2 linked regions of the Arabidopsis thaliana genome follow. The protein of the gene in region 1 interacts with the protein of each later gene in a pairwise test. Each region holds a gene or a part of one and is shown in the gene's direction. Other genes may lie near its edges.

Region 1 (5,036 bases):
AGGTTGGATAAAGAAGACACACCTTCACTGTATACCGAGCCGAAAAGTGGATTAGCAGGATTGCTTTGTTTTCAAACTTTTCAGCATGATTTACTATCTGCAGTTTAAGGATATATGAAATCTTCTATGACCATCAAGAGACAGAAAGTAACAAGAGGTGTCAAAGAAAGGAGGATCCTGACCTCAGATATATGGATATGTCCATAATCTCTCGCATGCTCTACCGATACCGAATCATCAAGAAATGTGCTCTGCACAAGAGGAAATAGAGACAGCTTCCCTTTTAATACAAAGCCATGAAACTTGGACCGGGAAGAACTATATCATTATAAATCACGCACATTGTCCAAATTCATATCAGTAGCAGATATTCACCTCCATGACGAGAACCTTTGCCTTGAGAGCATCAGCATTAGTTTCATCAACTACAAAATCCGACGTTGTATCTCCCGTAAAAGCAACTTCAGGAGTTATTATGCTGTCTGTAATCTACAATCCACAATCCAAACTTATTAAACAGGCTTATATACTTTGGAAAGACCATTGCAAAACTATTGACTTTGTGATAGACAAACATAAGAAAAAATTGACAAGCAATATTAAGCAAATCAAAGACAAACCTCAACACCTGAAACCTTCAAGTTCTTAATTTCATTTCCAGATAGGCCAATATATTCCTTCTTGAGTTTATATTTAGTTGAATACACTACATAACCCTGCAAAATATCAAACGAAAGCATGAATTCAACGAAGACACATAACGCTAAGATATCGAAAATCTCATGCGAGTTTACTAAAATAAACCTGGCTTTGGATGACATGGAATGTCTTAAAGGCTTTGACTTTGAGATCTTTCCTTATAATAAACTCCTCCCCTGCATGAAGAAGTGTCCAAGGTTTAACAAAAAAGCCAAATCTTGGCTGCAATGAATGCTAGAGGTTGAGTTACCACCTATGTCCAAGCCAACAAGATTGTGCTTTAGCTCTGAAGAATCTAACTTTCTGTGAACTTCGAATAAACTCTCAACAGTTTCTTTAATGGATGCGGGTACTATAATCGTTGGAGGCTTCATTTTGTACAAGCCTCTAGTAGCAACATACATTGGTAATCCACCCTAACATAACAATACGAATAGTTTAGCTCACAATTTGAGAATGTAACACCCAAACAGTAACAGAGCAATAGGCTAATATAACATAACAATTTAGCTGACAATTAGAGAATGTAACACCAACACAGCAACAGAGCAATATGCTAATGATAATAAACACATGGTGGCTCTCAACAAGGGTTTATCAAAACAGTAACAGAGCAATAAGCTAATGATAATAAACACATGGTGGCAGTCTCAACAAAGGCTTATCAAAATTGTTCTTAAAACAAAAAGTCAAAAGAAGGATCTTTGCAAAATATAATCCGAAATTTCAAGTCTTTTTATAGAAGATTCAAGATACTTACGATATGATCCATGTGAGAGTGAGAGATGAAGAGGAAGTCTTGAGAAATTGCGCGATGTGGGCAACGACCAATGTCGAAAGCTATCCGAAGAGATGGAAATATGATGCACGTCTCGTGCCCACCAATCGACAATCCCTCGATCGGGTAACCTTCAATTTGCATTGCTTTCTTCTTCTCCATCTCACTGTTCCTTAGGGTTTATCGAATTTTGGCTGTGCTCTTCGTTTTCAAATATTGATCACCAAGTGTTCGATGAAATGTCTCACAATCACAAGCTTTTTTCTTCCATGATCATTTTTTTTTTTTTTAATAATTTTATGGATTGGGCTTAGGCCCATAACGGTTAACGAGACTACTTCACTGGAGCGGGAACCACTAGGCACTGGTTAATAAATTTCCCACGTGCCTCTGGTGCAAAAGTTGGTCTTTCGTATTCAACGACAGTGCAAGGGTATGATTGTAAATTTACTTCGAATGCTTCATTAGAACGTCGCGGTATTCTTACACTTGTTTTCGAAGTAATCTCGACGACTATAACAAAATCTGAGCAATTTCAATTAAATATCTGTTACTGTTGTATTTTAAAATCTAGACTACTGATGACATAACCAAATTTTTAGACTAAATTACCCTTTTTCTTCTATTTTAATTATCGCATTTAATGATTTTCAGCTTTTTTTCTTTATAGATTGCTCTCTTAACTCTTCTTTAATTTTCCCTCTTTCGAGTTCTGAATTTTTCTGTAAAAATTAATTTTAGTTAAACTAAAAATGTTTGACAAAAATACTAAATTTCAGAGAAGATCCAACGGCTAGAAATCAACTGCGTAAGATTGGAGTTATGGAGATGCTCGCTTACTTTTTGGTTAAAATTAGAAATATTATTTTGCGCAAAATATTTATTTTCTCTTTCCGTCTGGTCACTGAAAGTCTCTGAAACCACCACCAAAGAGAAAAACAGTTCTTTAGAGAGCATCAAAGCTCCGAGGAAGAGAGAGAGAGACGCTATGGAAGCATTGAACTAACACAACTCTAAATTTCTAATTTACGGTATATTATCTCCTTCTTTGTTATTGTTTTTGTTTGGTCTGAATCGGACTTGGATTTAGAACGGAGATCCGACGGTTACTCCAACTTTAAACCGACTTTATTTTAAGACATTGTTCGAGTAGTGTTGGGTTTTAGAAGGATCTCTCTGTTTGGGATTTGTTGTTTGACTCTGTCGGTGTTTTTTGTTTGTTTGTTGTTGTTTTTCATTTTGGAAAGTGGATTTTGAGTCATTTAGGGTTCTTCTTTTTCAGTCTGAGTTCCAGATCTGGTAATTTCACTTCATAAATTTATATGGTAATCATTGTTTTTTTTTTTTGTTCTTTCTTGATTCTTACATTTAGTTATCATTAGGTTTATCTTTATAAGCTTATTATTAGAGTTGATTAGAACAAGATAATGTGTTACTCTCCTTTTTTGCCATAACTAATTAATGAATTAAAAGACTTCTTCATTTTGACTATTGTGGTAGACTAGTAGTTGCCATATTCACATACTAATATTGGCTTGTGTTGTTTCTTGGGCAATGCAGGTTTGTTTTAGTTCTATACATTATGGGGAAGTCTACAAAATGGTTGAAGAATGTATTGCTTGGGAAAAAAACTTCTAAATCTAGTGGTTCCAAAGACAAAGAGGTAACGCTTTTGTAAGAGAATTCTATATTATGTATGTGATGATTAAATACTGTATGTGGAGAATTTGGATCATAATTGAGAAAACAGTGATGGTTTTAGGCTACCAATTTGCTTATGATTGTCTTTTTTTTTTTTTTTTTTTGTTCTAATTATAGTTATAATAATGCGCAGAGAGTTGTGAGTGGAAAAGAGGTACTGGTTACTTCAAAGGTGGAAGAATCAGATGTGGTATCAGATCTTCCATCTTTTGAAGTTGCAGAGACCAATACCGTTGATAGAAGTGGTGGTATGTTAGAGACTCAAAATGTAGGACCTGAAGAGATCTCAGATGATGAAATTGAGCTTCCTGAAGGAAAATCAACAGATTCTCAGAATGTTGCACCTGTTCAAGATCATTCATTATCTGATGCAGAGAGAATCCAACGAGAGATTGCAGCAACGTCTGTGCAGGCTGCGTTTAGAGGTTACTTGGTAATAATTCCAGCTGTTTCGATTTTATTAGGCTTGTCTCTCTCTCTCTCTTGATTGCTGCTTCTGGTGTGTTGTCTTTTTGTATATCCTAACATGAGCTCTTTGTGTGAAGGCTCGGCGTGCTTTTTGGGCACTCAAAGGCATAATAAGGCTACAAGCGCTTATCCGTGGTCACCTTGTTAGGAGACAAGCTGTTGCAACTCTTTTCTCTGTCATGGGAATTGTCAGGTTGCAAGCATTTGCTCGAGGAAGAGAGATCAGGAAGTCCGACATTGGAGTTCAAGTTTATAGGAAATGCAGATTGCAGCTACTTCAGGTAATGATACTTTCATTTCTTTGTAAGTTCAAACTTACACTTAAATACAAACTTAGTCGAGGAAGATATTCTAGTTTGGGTTGGTGGGGAAATAATTGTTAGAACTGGCTTTTTTTATCAGGGGAACAAGCTTGCAAATCCTACAGATGCTTACCTTGGAATCAAGAAACTAACAGCCAATGCTTTTGCTCAGAAGGTACGCTTGTTGGTAGAGTTATTTATTATAATGATGTTCACTGTATCCAATATCTCTTTTATACTATGGAGTCTCTAATTTTATTTAAAGATCTTGATGGATAATTTTGTTTACAGCTTCTCGCTTCATCACCAAAAGTGCTACCTGTACACGCATATGATACATCCAATCCAAACTCAAACTTGATCTGGTTAGAGAACTGGTCAGCCTCATGCTTCTGGAAACCAGTTCCTCAACCGAAGAAAACGATAAGCAGAAAACCTCAGAACAGGCTTTTAGTCGAGGCTGAGTCTGCTAAACCCAAGAAGAGTGTCCGTAAAGTTCCTGCTTCAAACTTTGAAAGTTCCTCAGTACAGACATCTTTTGAGTTTGAGAAACCCAAACGCAGTTTCCGGAAAGTTTCAAGCCAGTCGATAGAGCCACCCGCTGTCGAAGATCCTCAGATTGAACTTGAAAAGGTTAAACGTAGCTTGAGGAAGGTACATAATCCTGTAGTTGAGAGCTCTATCCAACCTCAACGATCCCCTCGTAAGGAAGTCGAGAAGCCAAAGCTTGGCGTTGAGAAGACAAGGGAATCATCATATCCGCTGGTTCATGAAACTGCAGAAGAACCTGTGAATGTTTGTGATGAAAAGAAAAAGCAAGAAATTTCCGAACAGCCTGAGGAGGAGGTACATGCTCTTGAGATGGAAGTACATACTCCTGGACCATTAGAAACTAATGAAGCACTTGATTCCTCACTGGTCAACCAAATTGACAGCAATGAAAAAGCCATGGTTGAGGAAAAACCCTCAATGGAAAAGGATACCAAAGAAGAAAAGACTCCCAAACCAAACAATAAAGAGAATTCCGCTGGGAAGGAGAACCAGAAATCCAGGAAAAAGGGTTCAGCTACTAGCAAGACTGAGCGTGA
Region 2 (5,036 bases), about 24 Mb from region 1:
ATAACCTCGTCGGCAACGAACATACCCACCAAATCACTTTAGGTCATTTTCTTAAGCATTTATGTGGGAACCCCAATTACTTTCCTTGTAGATAAAGTCAAGGATATGATTACAAGTCACGGAGAGCACTAATGTAATGGGCTCAAGAACTCATAAACAACTGTTTTTAAGCCCATCACTCTGTAGTGTTCTTCATGCTTCCCAACATGGTAGACAAATAGAAGCAAGTGAATTGCAATGAGAGACGAGCAGAGATAGTAGTTTTGCAACACAAAGATCACATTTATAAGACAAGCATGTTTTCTTCAATAACAATTGCATCTGATGGAATCATCTTATGTACAAACACAACAAATACAAGATCCAATAAACACTTATGACTATTTGTCTCTGACTTTCTAGATACTAAACACATGTTCCTCTCCTGATCTCTGATCAACATGTGTGATCCATCTTCTCTTATTGTTACCACTCTTCCCTGAGTTCCTAGCCGCAACATGAGCTATCTCAATACCTCCGGTGACCGGAAGAGTCACCGTTCTAACAACTTTCCGGTCTCTTAAAACCCTTCTCAAGCTCGAATACCCGTTTCTACAAACCACAACAGCTCCTCTGTTTCCAAACGCAGCGTTTTTCAACGCAGCCGCTGCAAATTCTTTGTTCCGCCAATCCACGACCAAGAAGTCGACTCCTTGTAGCTTCTTCATCGCTTTTCCGGGTTCTTCAGCGACGATAGTCTCTGGAAAGTTCAAGGGAGATGAAGATTCTTGAATAGCTTGGAGATAAGCAGATTCTGATCTTGAGTTTTGTACTATACATATGTGTTTAGCGTTTGCGTGTTTGCTTGCTACGTTTAAACCAATACTTGAAGCTATTGCGTCTCCTTCTGACCAAGTTTCCACGATCAGCTTCACGTTCCATCCCGCCGCCATCGCCGCTATTAGCTCCGCCGCGTCCGGCGTTTCAAGATTCTCACACTGAACAAAAAAGAAAAGAAAAAAATCGTTACAAGAACAAACCATGAATCTTTAACAAAATTAAGATCTGAGTTTTCGAGAACTGGAGAGAAGAAGCGTGTGTTATTATTCCTTCACAACTCACCGGAAAATAAAAAAAAAACTTACCGATTTAACGGTGTCTATATAAGCCTTTGATGCTGTTTCCGGAGACCAAACCAATTTCATTTTCTTCTTCTTCTGCTTCTTCTTCTTGGTCTTCTCAAAGTTTCTCACGTTTCTTGTGTTCTGCTTCTTGTTTGGGTTTTAGCTTAAAGTTTGCTTTTATAGAGAACGTAGACATTAAGAAAAGTCTCGTTTCGTTTTGTATCGATATGGCCCTTGTATATTTGTCTAGTTTTTAGGTTTAGCCCCAATACTATCAACTTTAATCAAGTACCCCCCGATTTAGCTCCTTTGTTTAGAAATTGTTGCTTTAAAATCAGAAAATGGACATAGAGAATGCACTTGTTATGAATTAACGGAGGTAATTAGAGTACTATTATCCTAAATTTTTGTGGTGTAAAGGTTAGATTTTGAAAATGTGTAATATGTGAGAGTGATAGGTAAATTTTCTAAAAGATTTACTATGTTTTGTTCTTTCTTTCTGTTTTTTAAAGATAAGGTTTCTAGATAGTCGACTTTGACACTATTCCAGACGAATTTGACGTGTGTAGGCTAACGAGATTTAAACTATAATTAGTCTAAAACGATTTATCAACTGTTTATTCGTTAATAGTAGTTAAGTTTAGAAAATTTTCATTTAGTTGGTACAATAAAAAACACTATTCAGACCCAATTTCAATGACTTTAGTATCATGTGATAACTAAAACCAAGTGGATATAATAGATAATGTCTCATTGATCGTTGATAAGGAGTGTCTGGATACTTTTTTTTCCATCTAGGGATAATGGAGATAGTCATAGATAATGGCATAAATTTCAAACAAGTGAATCATATTTCAAAGCAAACCCAAAAGAAAGATATAAAGTATAGAAGAACTCAAACATGTGAAAAATCATCCAAGTGGAAGGTTACCTTTTAAATCACATGATGATATCATTTGCTATATACATTGATAGTGACCAATGCATTTAAACAATTGTCTTTGTACCCCATAGATCCAATTATGTGGGACAAATCAAACCTTTTTATAATTCCTATGTCACTTTGAAAACGACTCTATCGGTTGTGGCTTAAAGAAATATTAGGTCATGTTTATTCTTTTTATCCCACTTTCTCAAACTTAATGATTTGTTGTATAGTGGAATCATTTTAAGCAATTTCATTTGCCAATACAAATATTAAAATGCAAACCCACTCAAATTATCCTACTAATATTTGATTCTTTTTTTTAATTTGTAACTAGCAAACATATCAAAACTTTATAGGCGAAAGACATTCATTTCAAAAATAAGATCCTAAACTTTAAATTTCCACTAATATGATTGGTTAGACTTTGTTCATCTTTTAAGATTTCAAGAGATAAATGGGCCAGAAATAGTTGGGCCTTGAATATTAGATAAAACGACGCCATATCAACACCTCTCTCGTTAAAAGTTACAAACGCGACTCTCTGATCCTAAATTTCGTTGTACAGAGAAGAAGCAAAAGAGAGAAACATCTGACCCGGAATCTGACCTGAAAACCCGGAAGAATCGAAAAATGGGGAAAGATGGTCTGAGCGACGATCAGGTCTCGTCGATGAAGGAAGCCTTCATGCTCTTCGACACCGATGGCGACGGCAAAATCGCACCGTCAGAGCTCGGGATCCTCATGCGATCTCTCGGCGGAAACCCGACCCAAGCCCAGCTGAAATCCATAATCGCATCCGAGAATCTCTCTTCACCGTTTGATTTCAACAGATTCCTCGATCTCATGGCGAAACATCTGAAGACGGAACCTTTCGATCGCCAGCTCCGTGACGCATTCAAAGTGCTCGATAAGGAAGGTACCGGGTTCGTTGCTGTGGCGGATCTGAGGCATATTCTGACCAGTATCGGAGAGAAGCTGGAGCCTAATGAGTTCGATGAGTGGATCAAGGAGGTGGATGTTGGATCCGATGGAAAGATCCGGTATGAAGATTTCATAGCAAGGATGGTTGCTAAGTGAGATCTAATCTTTTATGTTTTGAAAGTTGAAATTTTTAAGAAGAGATTCTTTGTGTTTTTTTCACTTGTTTGTTTGATTTCGAGCGAATCCTAGCTAGGGTTTGTTTTATCATTGTGGAATTTGCTTACTAACTTTGTCTTCTTCATGTTTGTTTTCATTTTTAATGGAAATGTTGTCTGTGTGATTCCTCTTATCTTATCTAATCTCTAAGAATGTCAAGGTTTGTCTTTTATGCCTTTGTAATTCGTTGGATTGGGGTCAAGGAATCTCATTGATTCCCAATGTGGTAACTTTTCGCTCTTTCGATCTTGAAATGTTTGATTTCGATATCTAGCATTGAATTCTTTTAATAAGCCTTTTTGTTTGTTTAAGACTTGGTTTAATGTTCTTCATGTTATAGTAGTCTTCTTGAATGAGATACTATCTTCTTGTTTCATAACCTTATCCTGGCACGATCTGTGACAAGGACTGTGTTTTGTTGGTATGTGAAGTGGAAAGTAAAAAGATTGCGAAATGATTTAAAGATCTTTTGTTGCTCTCAAGCTTGTGCTGTTCAATATCGTGTTGTTATGTTGCTGTTGGATGTTGTTTGTCTTTCAGGGCGGCATGTTGTACCTAGATAACATGGTTTAAGGTAATAAAGCTTATGATGGCTCATCAGAACAAAGTTTTGAAAAAGCTTATGGCACTGACATTGTAGTTCATGTTCTCGAAACGGTAGTTTTTGACTCGGTTTTGGTTCTTGTTATGGTATAGTTTTCTTGTGTAGATGGTTATGCGAAAATGAAATTTCAATCTGATGCAAGTTTCAAAGTTTGATTAGATACATGCATTCTCTATATGTTCCTGTTACTTCTTACTAATACATGATTTGTGTGAAGATCAAAGCTCTCAAAATAATATTTCCGTTAATGAATACCACATGTAAATGATAAGAAGTATTGTAGTGGTGAAAAGAAAAGAGCATATAAATATACGCATTAGAATGATACCCAAAATGTTCGGTTCACTACACTATGAATCTGTTAACATACAATGTCCGGTTTAGACCGATTAAACAAAAACACGAGTGAATAAAAACAAGCTCTCTCTAATCCCGAGTTACTGGACTCTCCCTATTTGCAAGTAAATTGAGACGTGGCAGTATTTGGATCGCTAGATCAAAACGTAGGAGGGTGCCAAAGGCCATTGATGCATTCCACCGAGCAACTTAAAAGATAAAAATCTTTCCGTATTTTATAGTAAGATACAAAAAAAACCAATTCCGGCATAATTTGAATTGAACCGGTTTATTTGGTACGTTTCGGGTGTTGTTTCTTTTGTCTCTAAGCTCCGTCCGTCGTGTGCCATGGCTGTTTTGTAGGGTTTGCAATTTACACACAGAGTGAGAGTGAGAGTTTGAAAAGGAACGATTCAGCTTGAGATGGTGAAGTTGATGATACGGAGATTGAGTTCTCAAGTTTCGAAATTTGTTCAGCCTCGTCTCCTGGAGACAGGTACTCTGAGAATTGCTTTGATTAATTGCCCAAATGAGCTATCTTTTTGCTGCGAACGCGGCTTCTCTGCTTTCAGCGATAGAAATCTGTCTTATAGAGAGAGATTGAGAAGTGGGCTTGTCGATATTAAGGCAGATGATGCTATTGATCTGTTCCGAGACATGATTCACTCTCGTCCTCTTCCCACTGTTATAGATTTCAGTAGATTGTTTAGTGCCATTGCCAAAACGAAACAGTATGATCTTGTGTTAGCTCTCTGCAAGCAAATGGAATTAAAGGGAATCGCGCATAACCTCTACACTCTGAGTATTATGATTAATTGCTTTTGTCGATGTCGTAAACTCTGTTTGGCTTTTTCTGCTATGGGGAAGATCATTAAACTTGGGTATGAGCCTAACACTATCACATTTTCAACTTTAATCAACGGATTAT

What was found. The genes of interacting proteins can lie anywhere in the genome.
Region 2: the proteins of IQD31 (region 1) and AT1G12310 interact in a two-hybrid assay, tested with the Arabidopsis thaliana proteins (one large-scale study listed by BioGRID).

Annotation. Positions count from the first base shown.
Region 1 is NC_003070.9:28,061,948-28,066,983, reverse strand, and holds the start of IQD31 (IQ-domain 31), read left to right. Parts: upstream 1-2,212; 5' UTR 2,213-2,508; intron 2,509-3,037; 5' UTR 3,038-3,059; coding exon 3,060-3,140; intron 3,141-3,311; coding exon 3,312-3,611; intron 3,612-3,723; coding exon 3,724-3,927; intron 3,928-4,048; coding exon 4,049-4,123; intron 4,124-4,239; coding exon 4,240-5,036. Other genes in the region: TRZ1 (tRNAse Z1), read right to left, coding at 23-97, 183-251, 376-489, 621-716, 805-875, 953-1,115, 1,460-1,639. UniProt on the Arabidopsis thaliana protein: May be involved in cooperative interactions with calmodulins or calmodulin-like proteins. Recruits calmodulin proteins to microtubules, thus being a potential scaffold in cellular signaling and trafficking.
Region 2 is NC_003070.9:4,185,572-4,190,607, reverse strand, and holds AT1G12310 (Calcium-binding EF-hand family protein), read left to right. Parts: upstream 1-2,374; 5' UTR 2,375-2,661; coding exon 2,662-3,108; 3' UTR 3,109-3,955; downstream 3,956-5,036. Other genes in the region: AT1G12320 (ankyrin repeat/KH domain protein (DUF1442)), read right to left, coding at 399-977, 1,125-1,184; AT1G12300 (Tetratricopeptide repeat (TPR)-like superfamily protein), read left to right, coding at 4,532-5,036.